2 linked regions of the Rhinolophus ferrumequinum genome follow. The protein of the gene in region 1 interacts with the protein of each later gene in a pairwise test. Links are inferred from orthologs where the notes say so. Each region holds a gene or a part of one and is shown on either strand. Other genes may lie near its edges.

Region 1 (7,529 bases):
TTTTGAAGATAAAGTCCAAGATGTGGGATTCTTTTTTAAAAGGTGTGCGTATTTTATTCATTGAACGTAGATTGCTTTCTAAAAATGTTGGTATAATGTATGGTCCCATCAATGACCTTTTGGGAAGTCATAACTCACAGTGGCTTCTTTTCAGTGCTTCTCTGAGCTGACTTCTCCACACTACACATTACTGACCACAACTCCTCATGGCAGCACTTTCAGCCAGTTTTCCACCTGCACCTTTTTGGTCTCTTTCCCTAGCTTCTCTTCTTTTGTTGCTCCTAGATACTTGAATACCACACGGTTCTGTCTTGGCTCACTTTTCTGGTCACACTAAATGCTCTATTCTTTCCTTAAGTTTATGGTTTCAACCATAATCTCCGTCTTGCCTTAGTCCATCAATGAGGTGGCCCAGAGGTGACTTCACCTGAATTAGAATAGGGTTTCCCTTTCTGAAGACACCTTACTGTCATTGTCCAGAAAACTGTGGTAATAACTATTCAGTCACTATTCAATAGTCTACAATATATCCCCTGGATTGTGTGTCATATGACCTCCATAATCATTATGGATAGCTGTGTTTTCCATTCCTCTCCCGGGTCCAAAGTTCTGTATCAAACCTGTCTACTGAGTATCTCCAGCTGGAGGTTTTACAGACACGGCCGATAGAAAAGACCCATTGTTTAGCTTATCGTCACCCCCTCTTGAAATAACTCTTTATGCATTTCTTTTCTTCGTAAATGAGACTCCCATTCACTGGGGTGCCTATCTTAGAAACTTAGAAATTCATCATAGATCTCTCTCTCTCAATTCACATCTGATAGGTTACCAAATCCTGCTGTTTTGATTTCATATTCCTGAAATCCATTATCTCTTTTCAGTTCCCAGTGCTGCTGGCCTGACCATCCTTTTCATAGACTTATCTCTCCCTCCTATTATCCACACTGCTGCCAATTTATTTAACTTGCAAATCAATGAGAAAAATACTTTACTGTCTGTAATTGTCAAGAGGCTAAAATCTAAACTTCTTAGCATGACTTAATAAAGCTCTTTATTATCCAATACCTACTTAACGGTCTTGACTCATTTCCTGACATTCTCTAAAAGCAACCTATACTTCAGCTATATGTGTCTACTTTCAAATCCCTAACATGCCAAGAGCTGTCTAGTAATTCAGTGTCTTTGCACCTGCTATCCTTCTGCTTAGAATTCCTTGTCAGTCTTGTTGGCCTGACAACCTCCGACTTGTATTTCAAGGCGCAGCTCTAGGGTTATTTTCTCTTCTTTAAATTCTTTAGGCAGAAGTAAGCGCTTCGGTACTTGAGTTCCTTGTTAATATGGTACAGTTCTGCAGCATAGCAATTTAAACATTTTAATTATTTGTGTTATTAATTAGTATTTCCAAACTAGGTTGTAAGCTCCTTGAGGGTAGGGACTATGATTAATCTTATCTTTGCACAACCAGCACTTAATACAATGACTGACATTGAATATTTAACAGACACTTGAATGAATGTGAAAACGAATTAGTTAAATAGTGAGAATACTGTCCAGGCTAGGGTTTAAGGTTAAGCTAGAGATTTTCACTTAGGTAACTTAAAAGAATTTGGAAAAAAAATATAATAAAGGAAATTTAAGAACAGAAAAGTAAATCTCATATTATTTCACCATCCTAATGTCTATCTTAGTGCATTTACTTTCTTTGCTCAGACACGTGAGATATATATATATATATATGCATATATATATATAAAACACGTGTTTATGTATATATTTATATTTCATACAGCTGTAATTAAAACGTACATGTACTTTTACATGCTTTTAAGTTTAGCTAACTACAAACATTTTCCAACACTGTTGCACAGTCTTCCAAATTATTATTTTTTTCAGCATTGTATAATAATATCTCATTTCCTACTTAGATTGAAAGCCTAAAGAGACTTAGGTTGTCCTCAGTTTTCTGTTATAAATAGGAACAAATCCTAGTTTTGTGGGACTTGAAATTGATACAATTTTGAGGGGTGTTTAAAGAAAAAGGATGCAAAATCATCTGACTTTTGCAAATAGGCCCATGTGACCACACTGTTAGGGCCCCTCCCTGGGCTCTGGAAGGGGCTTGGGAAAGTGAGCGGTCATGAAGTTCAAGTTTCACTAGCTTCATGGTTATCTACCTCCAATTATAAATAATTCTGCAATAAACATTTTGAGCATGTAATTTTTGTCTCCCATTATTTCCCAATATTTCAAGTTACTATGACACCATTCACCTTGAAGGAGTTGAGAAAGAAAAGAAATGGTCATTTCTTGAACACCTGTTATATATTGAGCAGTTTATATATATTATTTAATTTAATCCTTCTGACAAGCCTGAAGGAGGCATTATATCCACTTTACAGAGGAGAAAACTGAGGTGCAGTGCATTTAAATATCGTGCCTCAAGTCACACATCTAGTAACTAGTAGGGTTTGGGTCCTCACCCGAGTCTCATTCCAAACTTCATGCTTTTATCACTAACATTGTTTCTCCACAGACTCAGTAGCTTCACAATAATTCCCTAGGCTATTGCTGAAAAACGGGGTTCTCAGTTATGCGTTTTGAGGTCAGAATACAAAACTTGCACAGCACTTACATGGTACTTGGTAGAAGGTAATTGAAATCAATAGTGGGTAGACTTTCTCAGATGAATTTATGAGAAAATGATTTGGCTGTTTCTGCCTTTGTATCTGCTGACAGACACGCATTGCCCTGGTTCAGCCTGCATTTCTTAGAAGGAGGAGAGTGAAGTAAGAAGTCCTGGCTTAAGTTTGGGTCCTGCCATTCAGTATTTGAGTCTTGGGTAAGTCACTGAACTTCTCAGATTCTTCTTTTCCTCCTCTGTGCAATCGAGGGTAAGTAACAAAACCTGTCTTACCCCAGGGTAGTTTTGAGTGTCAAATTTGATGTGTGTGCAAGCACTCGGTGAACTCCAATGTCACTCGGTACTAGTAACATTTCTGGAGTAGCTCCACTTGTTTCCCATGTGCCCCCAGGTAAAGGTGTGTAACAGCTGGACAGAACGGACCAGATAGCTCCATTATGGTTAACTCTGGGAGTGTCCTTTCAGCCACTTAATATCCGAGAGCGTCTGGGTCGCTCCGCTTCAATGCCCAGTGCAGCGGGAGTAGCAGAGGCTGTGCAAAATGAGTCAGATTCTGGGGAATCCTTTCCTCCTCAAGCCGAGAACTGATCATCAAAACATGCCGAACATTCATTATTAAAAGGCAACTTGTAAAATCCTCAGTCCTCTCCAATTGTCCCTCTGCTCTGTCTTAGGTGCTGACGCATTTATCTTGAAATTTTATCTGCCACTTCAGAAATCTTTAGTTCGTGTAGGACTTAATTCTGGGGGGGAGTCTGTAGTTCGGGGAAGCCAGGAGAGAAATAAAAAACCTGAGTTTGAGTTGGGGTTTGAGCATCCTTCACCAGATCCACGTTTGAAGCTGGGGTTCAGGGGCACGGGTTTTTCTTTTCCTTAAAAAATTGCCTAAACCAATTTCCAACCCTGAAGATGGAGCTGCTCATCCCGTGTCGGGATCCACGTGGCTCCCCGAGCGTGGATCTGCGGCTCAGGCGCCCCCGGCCTGCCGCCCCCCGGAACCCCGGCCCAGGTGCTGCCGGCGGGGACCCGCAGGTCCACCTGGCTCCGCCGGCGGCCGCCGCACAAAGAGCGGAGCAGGCGGCTGCCCGGCGGAGCAGCAGAAAGTAGTCCCGACCACGCCGGCTCCAATGTTATTCGACGTCGCTTCACGCCCTCCACGGGGAGGGCTCAGCGGCCGGCCGGGCAAAGAATCCCATTGGAATGCGCCGCGGCGCGGTCTATCCCCTCCAAGTCCCCTCTGCTCGCCCCGCAGATCTCCGGGAGTCTCCAAGCAGAGGCAGGGCGTGCACCCCCACTTTCTTTCATACCTGCCAGAGAGGGGGTGCCCAGGGAGGGGGCTCGGCCGCGCGCAGGGACACCTTGGCCGCGCGCAGGGACACCTTGGCCGCGCATCCCGGCGACGGGCGGCTCGTATCCTTGCGCCGCTGCGTGAGAGGAAGAGGCTGAATGAGGAACTGCGCGGGGGAAGCGGGGCGCCGGGGGAGGAGGCGTCGGGATGGAAGCAGACGCTGGCGTCGCGCGAACCCTGGCCAGAGCGGCGCGGTAGAGAGGGCGGCGGCGGCGCGCGCGGAGCCCTGACGTGCCCCTTTCTTCTCTCTCTGGCAAGCTGGGAAGCATGAGCGTGCAGACCTGCCGCTGCGGCGGCCGCCCCGGCTCCTCGCCTCCCCCTCTTCTGGTCGCCCCTCGCCGGTGAGAGAAGAGAACGCAAGAAGGGAAGATGGGGGCCGTCCTGAGGAGCCTCCTGGCCTGCAGTTTCTGTGTGCTCCTGAGAGGTGGGAAGGGCGGGGGGGTGGACACGGGAAAGTTGGTGGGATTTGGGGGGGGAGGTGGCCTTGTTTTGTGTGTGTCTGGGGGGAGGGGAGGGAGGGAGGAAAAGGAGAAGAGGAGCGGGGAGAGGCCTGGTGGTGGGGAAGGAGAGGGAAAGGGGCCCGGGAAAAGGGGCTGTGCGCTCTGTCTGGCCACAATGCAGACCCCTGCCTCGGTGTAAGACCTTCTCGGGACGAATCAGAGCCTCAGCCCGGGCTGCTGGTCTAGGTGAACCCCTGGAGTCCCATGCTGTCGGAATGACTGAGGGTCTGTGTGTCTCTTTCTGCCTGCAGTCATCCGGGAGCAGGGTCTTTGTATGTATTTTGGCGTTTAGAATGTTGGAGCCCAAGATGCTTTAACGTTGGTCTTCTTCCTCGAAGCCCCCACCTCTTCTGTGTCTCTCATGTGCACTTTTAGGGTCCTCGTACTATTTTTCCAGGTCTTGTTACAACTAATAATTGGCTTCCGTTCGGGATATAATGATTCTGGGTGAGAGCACAGTTGGAGAGTGACTCCGAGGTTATAGGTCGAGCGATTCAGCGTTGGGAATCTTCGGAGCTTCAGCCCATAATAAAATGGAAGCGTTGCCCTTGCCACCCCTGGTGCTCAGGACTTGCCCCTATTTTCGGAGCATGCGAGTGTACAGTTGGCACTAACTGGGAAAGTCATCCTTGTGTGAAAAGGAGCCTGTCCTGGGACCTAAGTTATCATTTGCTGCGCTCCCCTGGGGACTGCTTGGCACTTTGGTAAATAACATAGGCTATTCTATGTAATTTGCTCTGAGAATCGCATACATTCGATGGTCCTGTGGTTTTTTGAATTGGCATGCGAAGCTGTCACATATGCTGTGACTTTGATTTTGTGACAGTTCACTAAGGTTTAGACTGGCCGGCAAGATATCAACAGCTCTTCTCAAACTTACCAGTGGTGAAGTGGTGATCAGTCTGATGCTATTGAGCCTTTACCAGGAGAGGAATTTAAATCCTGATTGATGCAGAGGCTTGTAGCTTTGGTTTTGTTAAAAGTCTCACTTGCCGTTCCCGGTCAGTTCTTTTCAGGTATGGGACCTCTTGAATCTATGGAGCTTTTTAGCTATTGATTTAATAGGCTAAACTTTTGTTAAGCCTCCAGAACGTACTGAAGTTTACAGAACATGATAGTAACTAACGATCTTGCGATATGAATCAGCCAGGTGTGCCATTTCTGTACGTGTAGGTTTAGTTTGGGTGAGCATAAGTGACCTTTTTCTTTTTTGAGGAAGAATTGTTTTTCTTTCCTCTTCTGCAGGATTATGATGTTTGTATGTTTTATCTACTTCTACTTAATTAGGACTCACTAAGCGTATTCCAAACTGTTTCCACATGTAACCCCCAGAAAGATAATGCTCATTTAATTTTCTTGGCAGAGGATTTAATGTGGTGTTTACGCACTTGAGAGGTTTAATAAGTATATGTTTATTGTAGTATACTCCCTGTTGAAAGGGGGTTTTGCCATAGCTGTGAGAAACAATTATATTTGACATAGAAGATGTATATATTTGAAGACAGAAAATAAGAGTTAACAAATGTGGGAGTCAGCTGATTGGTTAAAGTCTTGGGGAAATCTAAATCCATAACCCGGGATGCTCCTGGTTGCCCAGTTGTATTTCTTGCAGGGGAAGGGTGTGATGTAAATGACACTTGTTTATTTTAACACCAAGTTTGAGCCTAGAGTTGGGTTTGTTCATTACTGGAATTAAGAGAAGTTGAACTTGAAGTAGTGTTTTGAAGTATGGTAGTATTGTAACAAGACCTAAGCATTAGTAGTTTAAATGGCCTCATACCTGCTAGCAAACAAAGTTTCCAAAAGTGAAGGTTTCATTTTAAATGTAACATAATAATGACATAAGGTGGTCTTTGAATGTAACAGTACATAACTGTGAGTACATATCATTTGAACTAAAACTGTCTTTTGATTGTGAAACATTGTATTCATAATTAACTTCTTTTTATTCTTTGATAATGTCATCCTCTGTTATAATAGTGATACGAGTTCACCTTGGGCTCTAAGGAAAAAAATGTGATTAATTTGTTGTATTAAGGTCATTTTTCTTTACTGAAGAGTTGGAGCTTTAACTGGGAAGATGGGATGATGAGAGAGTTTGGGAAACCTTTTGCCCTGTAGCCCTGTTAAGAGCTGAAAGTTGGGGAATAATGCCGTCATCAGCTAGGCTGCATCTCCGTCCCTATTATCAGAGGACAGGGTGGAATGGAAAGAATGGGAGATTTTAACCCTAAAATCTTGGGTTTCAAGTCCATGCTTCACTACTTAATAACTATGTTTCTGGTCCAGGCAATTTCTCCGGGCCTCAGTTTCTTTACCTGTAAAATGTGGGTAATAATACCACTCTAATTTTCAGGTTTACTGGGCATATTAAATGAAGTAATGACTATGAAGTGACCTACAAATATTAATTTTTGTTATAGTTTTTGGTTATTTGTGGACATGGCCTCAAATGCTGGAGATTTGAGATTTATTAATAATTTGTGTAAGATTCATGAATTCTTAAAGGTAGGTGAGATCTTGGTCATTTTGGTCTGACCGCTTCATTTGCAAGTGGGGAAACTCAGATTCAGAGAGATTATAACTTGATCAGTATCTAATGGTAAAGCAGGGATTTATTGTTCATGCTTTTAGCAAATATGTTGGAATACCTACTATATTTCAGGCTCATGGTCGCTGCTCTAACGGACCTCACAATCTAGGTTGTTATTTTTACCATTCTCTTAGTTCCGTCCAGGTACTGATTAGAAAAGATTGTATCTCCGATTTTCTAGAGGACATATTTTATTAGAATATATGCTTTAGAGTACCATTAGTGTGTATAATCTGTCAATACTATGTCCCAGCTTACTTTGAGGAGGCTTTTGTTGTTTTATAAAAATTCTTTGCTGTTTACCTTTTTTTGTGTTACTTGTTTTGGTGGGGGGGTGGTAAATACTGTCAGGACAAGCCACTAATGTTTCCTATCTTTTTATAGAAGTGACCCGTGGAAAAGTGTTTTTTGTTTTGTTTTGGTTTTTTTAATGTTAGGTGTGATGAG
Region 2 (7,878 bases), on another chromosome or scaffold:
CGGGTGAGCTCTGACCTCCAGCACGCCACAGCCCAGCTCTCTCTGGAGCATCGAGATTCCTGAGGGTTGTGGGCAGGGGACCCTGTTGCCCCACCCCCTGTGCTTCTTTTGCTGCCTTAAGTCCCCCGTGCCCTGGAGGTGAGGGCAGCTCTAGTCTCTTCCCTGCCTCCTCTTCCCTCCCCACGTTTTGTATAAAACTTAACTTTTTTTTTTTTAATGGTGAAGGGTGGGTGGGTGCCCAGGGCTGGGGGCTGTCCCTGTCTCTGTGGGTTTCTAAGCTCTGGGCAAAGTGGTGGTGGGGGGGCGGGAGGGGGTTGTGAAGGGGGCCACCTCCACTCTGGGGAATTTATATTTGAACTGAGGCTTTGGCCTCGAAGCCCAGGAACTTTTTTATTACAATCGCTTAGGAAGTAAAGCCTTGTCTCCCTCCCTATTCTCTGCCTCCTGTACCTCTCCCTGTCCACCTCCAGCCATCCTCAGCCCCAATCCAGCCTTCCCTGCCCCTCCAGGGGCCATGAGTGCCTGGGTTTCTCACCCCACAGGGTTGCAACAGGGGAGGGAGGGACATTTTATGATGAACCAAAAATTCTGTGTTGAGGGGTGGGGGGTAGAGGAGGGTGAGGGGTGCCACCCATAGGCCACAAATCTCTACAAGTGCCTGCTATCCCTCTCCTACTCCCCACCCCAGAACCGGTCCAACCCCTTTACCCCCAGCTGCTCCTAGGACCAGCCCGTAGGTAGGCAGGGGTGGGAAGGGGGTACCCTGAATCCAAACTGGAAGACCCTCTGCCTCTTGGCTGGGGCCCCTGGGGTGGGGTCTGTGGTTAAGCCTTATTCTGTACTGGGGACTGAGGGTGGGGGGCGGAGGGAAGTTGGGGGCTGCTGGAGAATGTATTCAAAACAATAAAACTTTGGACCTTTGGGTGGAATGATCTGTCTCATCAAGGGACCATAGCCTGTGTTGGATTCTGAAGGACTGGGGCCTGGACTGACTCCCCAGTGAATCTATGGCCAGAGGGCCTAACCCCATCTGAATGTGTGGTTTCAGGGAAGTGACCTCCTGAAGGGGGGGTGGGGGTGGGAGGTACATACCTCCAGGGCTCAATGATTTAGGTCTCAGGCATACTCCAGTCATCATCTGATTGCTTCCCTATCCCATGGGGCGACTTGTCCTTGGAAGCATTTAGACTCCACCTATTGCCTGAAATGACTTTTCCCTCTGGCTCTGAATTCCTCCCCATGTCCCCAGGCTCTGGAGAAGGCTTGGAGCTCCTTTTGCATTACCTCTAGTGTCCTCTCACACATCACTCTCCTTAGAGCACTTAGTCTGGGAGTCCTTTGGGGACAGGCCTGCAGTCTCTTGGAATGTACACCTTGCAAGGGACCTTGGTGATCTTCCTGTGGAACCATGGGAACATCCTCCACCAGCAAGTTGAGATGGGGACTAGCTTAATCAAAGTCGCTGTTGATTGACCTACTGTATACCAAGTACCTAGTTAGGAGCTGCAGTTATTTATCTCCAACATCCAGCAGGGCAAGTGACTCAGTTAATGTCCAAGGTCCTAAGCCCAACCAGGACTAAATGAAGTCTGTGTTCTTTCGACTCCTGAGTTTTCCTCCTAAAGCTAGGATGGTTGGATCTAGACCAGGGTCTCAAAATCATAGGATCTGAGAAGTGAGCTCATCAAGCTAGAAGCTCAGGTTGGGGAGCTCGAATCAGGGATCAACGAGTCAGGAGGAATCCAGGCTTGGAAGTGCTGTTCCAGACAGCTCAGCCACTACCGTGCAGGTGAGGTGCCTGAGGCCCAGAGGCGGGAAGGAGTTTCCCTGAGGCCACACAGCTGCTAAGAGAGTGGGAATTGAGGGCTCAGGGCCTGTTGGACTGGCTTCACTGTGAAACCCCACCCTGTGCGACTCGGGGAAGGAACTGGTAGCTCCTCCCCACTCGCTTCATCCTCATTTCATGCCAGCCAAGGATGGCTGGTCCCAGATTATGTTGGCAGTGAAGAGAGGATCCAGGGCTGGGGTATTAGCAGGAAACCGAGGCTCCCATGGCAGCCTGCGGGCAACTGCTCCCTCTCCTGGGTGATGTAAGTCACTCCCTGGGGTGGGGGCCACTGGGCTATTTCTGGAAGTTGGGATGAGGCATGTCTCCTGGCAACATAGATGCAGCTGAATTGGTGGTGGTGGTGTGATGGAGAAGGGGATGTCATCACGGGGGAGGGGGGAGGACGCTGACTAGTAGTCTCATCTTCTGATTTCAGTACCTTCGAAGCACCTCTAACCAGGTCTAACATGGATTCAAAAGTGCTCAGCTCTAGAACTGCTCAGGTCAGACCAGGTCCAGTCAGACTGGTTGCCCCCAATTCTGGCTGAGCGGGATGTTAGAGGTGGCATCGGGTCTTGAAACCTCCAGCAGCTCCTCTAACCTTTAACGATCCACCTAAATCTGTTCGCAGTTTCTGCAAGACCACACCCTTGCTCCTTACCGCATCCTCCAGGATCTCTGATTCCAAGCAGAAATCCCTTTATAGATCCACGACACTTCATCAATTAATTCACCCCATCAGAGGTCCTTTTATCTATAACACCCAGCACTCACACTGACCCCCAAAGCTCCTTCCTGATGCTTCTCAACCATCCCTTACCCCTTCAGGCACCTCAGAGATCCCCTCAGTCACCAGTAGTTTCTCAGTCTCCCAGAGACCGTTTAAAAACACCCCAAATCCCCTCTGACTTCTCCCCTGGTCCCCAGTAAGAGGCCTTCACTTCTCCAAGGTACCTCTGAGTACCTCCAGACACCCAAAAGCTCCTCAAAGACACAACCCGCCCTGGCACCCCTCAACAAATGTTCTCAAGCCCTATAAATATCCTGGTAAGACTCCCTCCGACTGTTGCCTTCATACTCCCACTGATCCCAATACCCTTGTGGCGGTTGCCTACGCGCGGCCCACTGCGCATGTCCCACGGGTCCAGGCCGTTAAGTAACCGCCACTATCCTGCCCTTCTCCGCTGCCCTTCTGGGCCTTCTTGGTCCAGTGTAGGGTTGACTTCTCAGGGCTTTGGGTCTTGACTCAGATTTTTGCTTTCCGACTCCGAGCTGCCGTCAGAGGGCAGCAGGTACCGTTTGGCTGGGAAACTACAACTCCCAGAAACACCCGCTCCGTGCTGTGTGTGACGCAACCGCATTCATTGAAGGAATAGAAGTGTGTCCGCGCTTTGCCTCTGGTTAATGTAGTCCGAAAGGCCTTTAACGCTACCGTCTGTCCCGGCCCCGGGAGTGGTGGTGGTGGTGTCTGTGCCCATTGGGAATTGTAGTCAGGACTGGACAAAGTGGACGAGACTTTCTTTAGACTTCTGAAGGGTCAGGACAGTTAGCACCAACACTGGATCGGATTAAAGTGAAGTCCAGAGACTCCATTTCCCATCATTCCATGAGGCAGGAGGGGCTGAGGTGATTTCATTCTTGTTCCAAGTATTTCCGGGACACACACGCAAACGCACACGAACTCTGTTTCCCAGCTCCCTTTGGTGCTACCGTCCTTCCGGGTATTAAATCGATAAATGGGGCGACATAAAGCGTGCACAAAACCTAAGGGTACTCTTAGCACCCAACTTCCTCTTTTGGATCCTCCAGGATCCTATAATTTAGGAAGTGGAAAGACGCAAAAAGCTAAGTGGGGGTTCAGGACAAATTGTATTTTTTAACGCTCGGCTCAGCCTCTGGGTGCAAATCACAAAACTAGAAAAAGCTAGATTGTATCCTAAGACTATTGTTCTGAGAAACTGCAGGTAACTGTTTCCTAAGTCGTTTGCACGGGGGTTTTCCTTCCTGTTTTGTGGAAACTTAGAACTTAGAAGGAGTGTTTGGACTCCACTTTCCAGCAGCTCCTAATCGACTTAGGCTCTTTCTTGGGACCTGGAGATGGGGAAGGAGGCGTTGAAACACTCTTCAGTCTCCATAGGAAACTGCCGACTTTCACCTTTCGCTCAGGCTTTCCCGAAGGTACCCACCAATTGGACTCCACTTCCCCGTCAGCGTAGGCAGTCTAGTCTCAAAGTGTCAGGATCCGGTCTGGACTATTCCCCAGCATGCTTCGGGCTCATAGTAGATCCCTCCCCCTCAGTCAATGGGAGACTGCCTGGAACTCCATTTCCCAGAAGACACAAGGGCTCGCTGTAGCAACTGCTCTGAAGCCGTGGTGCTGACTACATTTCCCGGCAGGAACTGCGGCCTAGCGTGCGAGGGAGGAGGAGCGCTATATCTACTCCATTTCCCAGTCTATCTCCGGAACTGCAGTATCCACTTGGGACTTAGGGAATCACATGGGACTCCATTTCCCGGCGTGCTTTGGGAGTCGCTTTACACCTGCAATGCGGTGAGGGCGTGGCGACGACTCCATTTCCCGGCTTGCCTCACTGTCCGAGATCTGCTGGTCCGAGATCTGCGGGTCCTCCTGCGCCGACTCAATTTCCCAAAGTACACCTGGTGCTGGTGGACATACACAGCTAATAGACTTAGTGACCGACTGGACTCCGTTTCCCGGCGTGCATGAGGCCGCTCACCGAGTGGCTGCGACTACATTTCTGAGGTACACTGAACGGTGAGAGGCTCACCGTTGCCGCATTGGAGGAAGTGTGCGACTCTGACTTGGCCTCCCAAAGTGCTTCTGGGTCCGCCGTGGGCACAGTGGATCGATTTATTGCCCAGGACCCTATTTCTCGACGGGCAGCGCGACCCATCATCTCCACGGTCTATTCTGAAGCCTTTGCGGACTCCACTTCCCGGCGTGCCACGCGGCTCTCTCTGGGCCGAGGGCGGTGACGGAGGCGCGGAGGGCAGGCGGACTGCATCTCCCGGTGTGCCCCGCGGCGGGCGCTGGGCCGGAGCCGGAGCCCGAGCGGCGCGGCCTGGAAGAGGCCGGAGGCCGGGGAAGGCGGCGGCAGCGGCGGCAGCTCGGGCAGCCCGAGCCCCGCGGCCTGGGCCTGCGCTCGGTGCCATGAGCGGCGGCGCGCCTTCAGGGGGTGGCCCTGGGGGCTCGGGCCGGGCGCGGACCAGCTCGTTCGCGGAGCCAGGAGGCGGCGGCGGCGGCGGCGGTGGCGGCCCCGGGGGCTCGGCCTCCGGCCCGGGCGGCAGCGGCGGCGGGAAGGCGTCAGTCGGAGCCATGGGTGGGGGCGTGGGGGCCTCAAGCTCCGGGGGTGGCCCCAGCGGCAGTGGCGGAGGAGGCAGCGGCGGTCCCAGCGCGGGCACCAGCTTCCCGCCGCCGGGAGTGAAGCTGGGCCGTGAGTACTAGGGGCGCCCGTGGTGGGTGGAGATGAGGGTTCCTGAAGCCCCTCAATCGTAGATCAGGTTCTTTTATGTGCCCAGATAGGAGCTCGAGGTCATTGTGCCTCCCAAAACTGGGATCTGAGCTCTACTCCTCCCAAAGAAGGATTTGGGGGGTTACCATCACTTGCAGTTTAAGATTAGAATTAGTTACCGTAGAAAAACCAGGGGTCACAGGTTCCTGTTATTCTAGTATCAAGGTCTTGGGTCCTTGAGGCTTCAAAACAGGGATCTGACGTTGCCATCCATTAGAGAACAGGATCAGGGGTCATCGTCACTTACGAATGAAGCTCAAGGGTTATTGTTCCCGAAGAGAACAAGAATAAAAACACCACCACCCGAAAAGGGGCTCTGAATTTGTTCCCCTTCAAAGGATGGGATTTGGAGTGAATATTGTTTAGAAGCAGGTATTTGGAGTTACTGTGTCCCCAAAGATCAGGGCTAGGGCTTTCCAAACCTGGTACCTAGGTCATCTTCCCTTTTAAAACACAAAGTTTGGTATCATTACCTGTTCATAATATGTAGAATTGTTCCCCCAATGGTAGAAATTAATGGTTGCTGCTTTTTAGAAATAAGGACAGAGTGGGAGTCAGTATCTCCATCAGATCAAGTCACGGTCCCTGTTCTTAAAACATGGCTTGGTGGGTCTCCTTTCACAAAAATGGAATGAGGGCAGGAGAGAGTCACAATTCCCCATAGAATATGGATCTGGTTATACCCCTTTCGTTATTCTGAGGTGTGTCATTGGCTCTGGAAAAAGACCTACGTAGAATCACCTCTGACAAAAGAAGGTGTCAACTGGTCCCTCAACATGGATTTGATTCATCAATGACCCCTTTTCTTTGGGGAACCTTTCCTCACTTTCCCAAAGAAAAGGGGTCCCTGTCCCCAAAGAATGCTACCAAAGTTTGCTGCCATTCAGAAACCAGAACTGGGAATTACAGCTTTTCTTTGAAGGATGGAAGCTGGGCTAGCCCCTTGGTTATAGAGATCAGGTTCACCAGTCTCACAATTTGGTGCTTGTCCATTAGGGTCCACCCTCATGCTGGAAGGGGTCTGGGGCTCTGGGCTGTACAGGTGAGGTCAGGTCAATGCCTTCTCTAATCCCAAAGTATTTGGATTAGGGCTAACTGTCCCCAAAAAGTGAGAATCAGGGCACTAGCACGCTCATGCCAGGAGGAGTCATTCATTCCTGTCACCAAAAACCACTGGTGAAGTTACCAGCTCCACCAGGGAGTGTGTAGAGGTCACTCTGCCCTGAGCTGTGAGGAAGGTTAGTGCTTTTCTAAAGTAGAAGTACCTCAGGATTACCACTTGAGTGGAAGAGGTTAGGTCAAGGCTTTCCCCAGTCAGGAGGGCCCAGAGGGCAGTAAACTTCAGAGTGGATTGGGAGTGTCGGTGTCTCCTTAGACCAAAAGGACCCAGTGGTTTGCTGCTTACTAGAAATGGAGATGAAAGGTCTGCAAGAGGTTTAGATGTCAGTATCCTGGGGGAGGGTACTGGGAGGAGAGGGGAAAGGAAAAAGGGACAGAGAGGCCCCAGAAAGCTACCTGTAGTGATTCCCCTCCCTCCCACAGCCCCAGGAGGGGATGGTGGCAAGAGGGGAAAGGTCAGTGGGTTTTGTGTCCCCTTTGTTCCCCAGGTGACAGCGGCAAAGTGACCACAGTGGTAGCCACTCTAGGCCAAGGCCCGGATCGCTCCCAGGAGGTGGCTTACACAGACATCAAAGTGATTGGCAATGGCTCATTTGGGGTCGTGTACCAGGCACGGCTGGCAGAGACGAGGGAACTGGTAGCCATCAAGAAGGTTCTTCAAGACAAGAGGTTTAAGGTAGCTTGGGGGGCGCGGCACGGGTGAGGACATGGAGGCTTGACTGGGCATGACTGGTGAGAGAGCCCCAGAAGCACTGGCCTTAGGGTTCTACAGAGGATCTTAGCATGGGCCCGAGGAGAAGGGAGAGAAGAGAGTGAGTTGTGTGGAAGATGGGAATATAGATTCCAGCAGAGCCCAGAGCTGACATTTATTGGGCTTTTCCTCTTTGTAAGGGCTTTGCAGGTGAGTTTTTGTTTAATTTACATAAAGGTTCGCTGAAGGTAGATACTATTGTTATTCCCATTTCAAGTAAGCAGAAGCTGGAAACTGAGACTCAGATAAGAGAATTGCCAAAGGTCAAGACTAGCATCTGATTCCCAAGTCCTCTACCTTTACGGAGTTAAGCTTCTGCTTAGAGGGGAAAGGAAGCTGGGGGAGCTGATTGAGTGTGTTAGCAAAGGCCTTGCTGTGCCGCAGATAAGTAGGGGGTGGGATCCAGCCTGCGCAGCAGCTCTCACCAAACCACGTGCCTTGCTGTGGGGCTGTGTCCCCCTGAGGATGGGGTGTCCTTCCCTCATCCCCTATGAGCGAGTGGAAGCTCAGGGAATGAGGAGATGGAGGAGTGGAAGTTGAGGGATAATTGGTGTTTGACGGACAGCATTTTGGAGCCTGGGCTAGTAGGGACGTAGGAGAACTGAGCCCAGGCTGGGGAGCCAGGTCAGGCCCTGGGTCTTGGCAGT

The links.
Region 2: the proteins of LRP6 (region 1) and GSK3A interact in binary tests that used the Homo sapiens proteins (3 or more experiments, as listed by UniProt). The link is inferred for Rhinolophus ferrumequinum from reciprocal best matches to the Homo sapiens genes LRP6 and GSK3A.

The regions. Positions count from the first base shown.
Region 1 is NC_046293.1:27,146,375-27,153,903, reverse strand, and holds the start of LRP6 (low-density lipoprotein receptor-related protein 6), read left to right. Parts: upstream 1-4,281; 5' UTR 4,282-4,358; coding exon 4,359-4,413; intron 4,414-7,529. UniProt on the Homo sapiens protein: Component of the Wnt-Fzd-LRP5-LRP6 complex that triggers beta-catenin signaling through inducing aggregation of receptor-ligand complexes into ribosome-sized signalosomes.
Region 2 is NC_046298.1:40,146,363-40,154,240, reverse strand, and holds the start of GSK3A (glycogen synthase kinase-3 alpha), read left to right. Parts: upstream 1-4,403; 5' UTR 4,404-5,000; coding exon 5,001-5,283; intron 5,284-6,968; coding exon 6,969-7,156; intron 7,157-7,878. Other genes in the region: ETS domain-containing transcription factor ERF, read left to right, coding at 1-63. UniProt on the Homo sapiens protein: Constitutively active protein kinase that acts as a negative regulator in the hormonal control of glucose homeostasis, Wnt signaling and regulation of transcription factors and microtubules, by phosphorylating and inactivating glycogen synthase (GYS1 or GYS2), CTNNB1/beta-catenin, APC and AXIN1.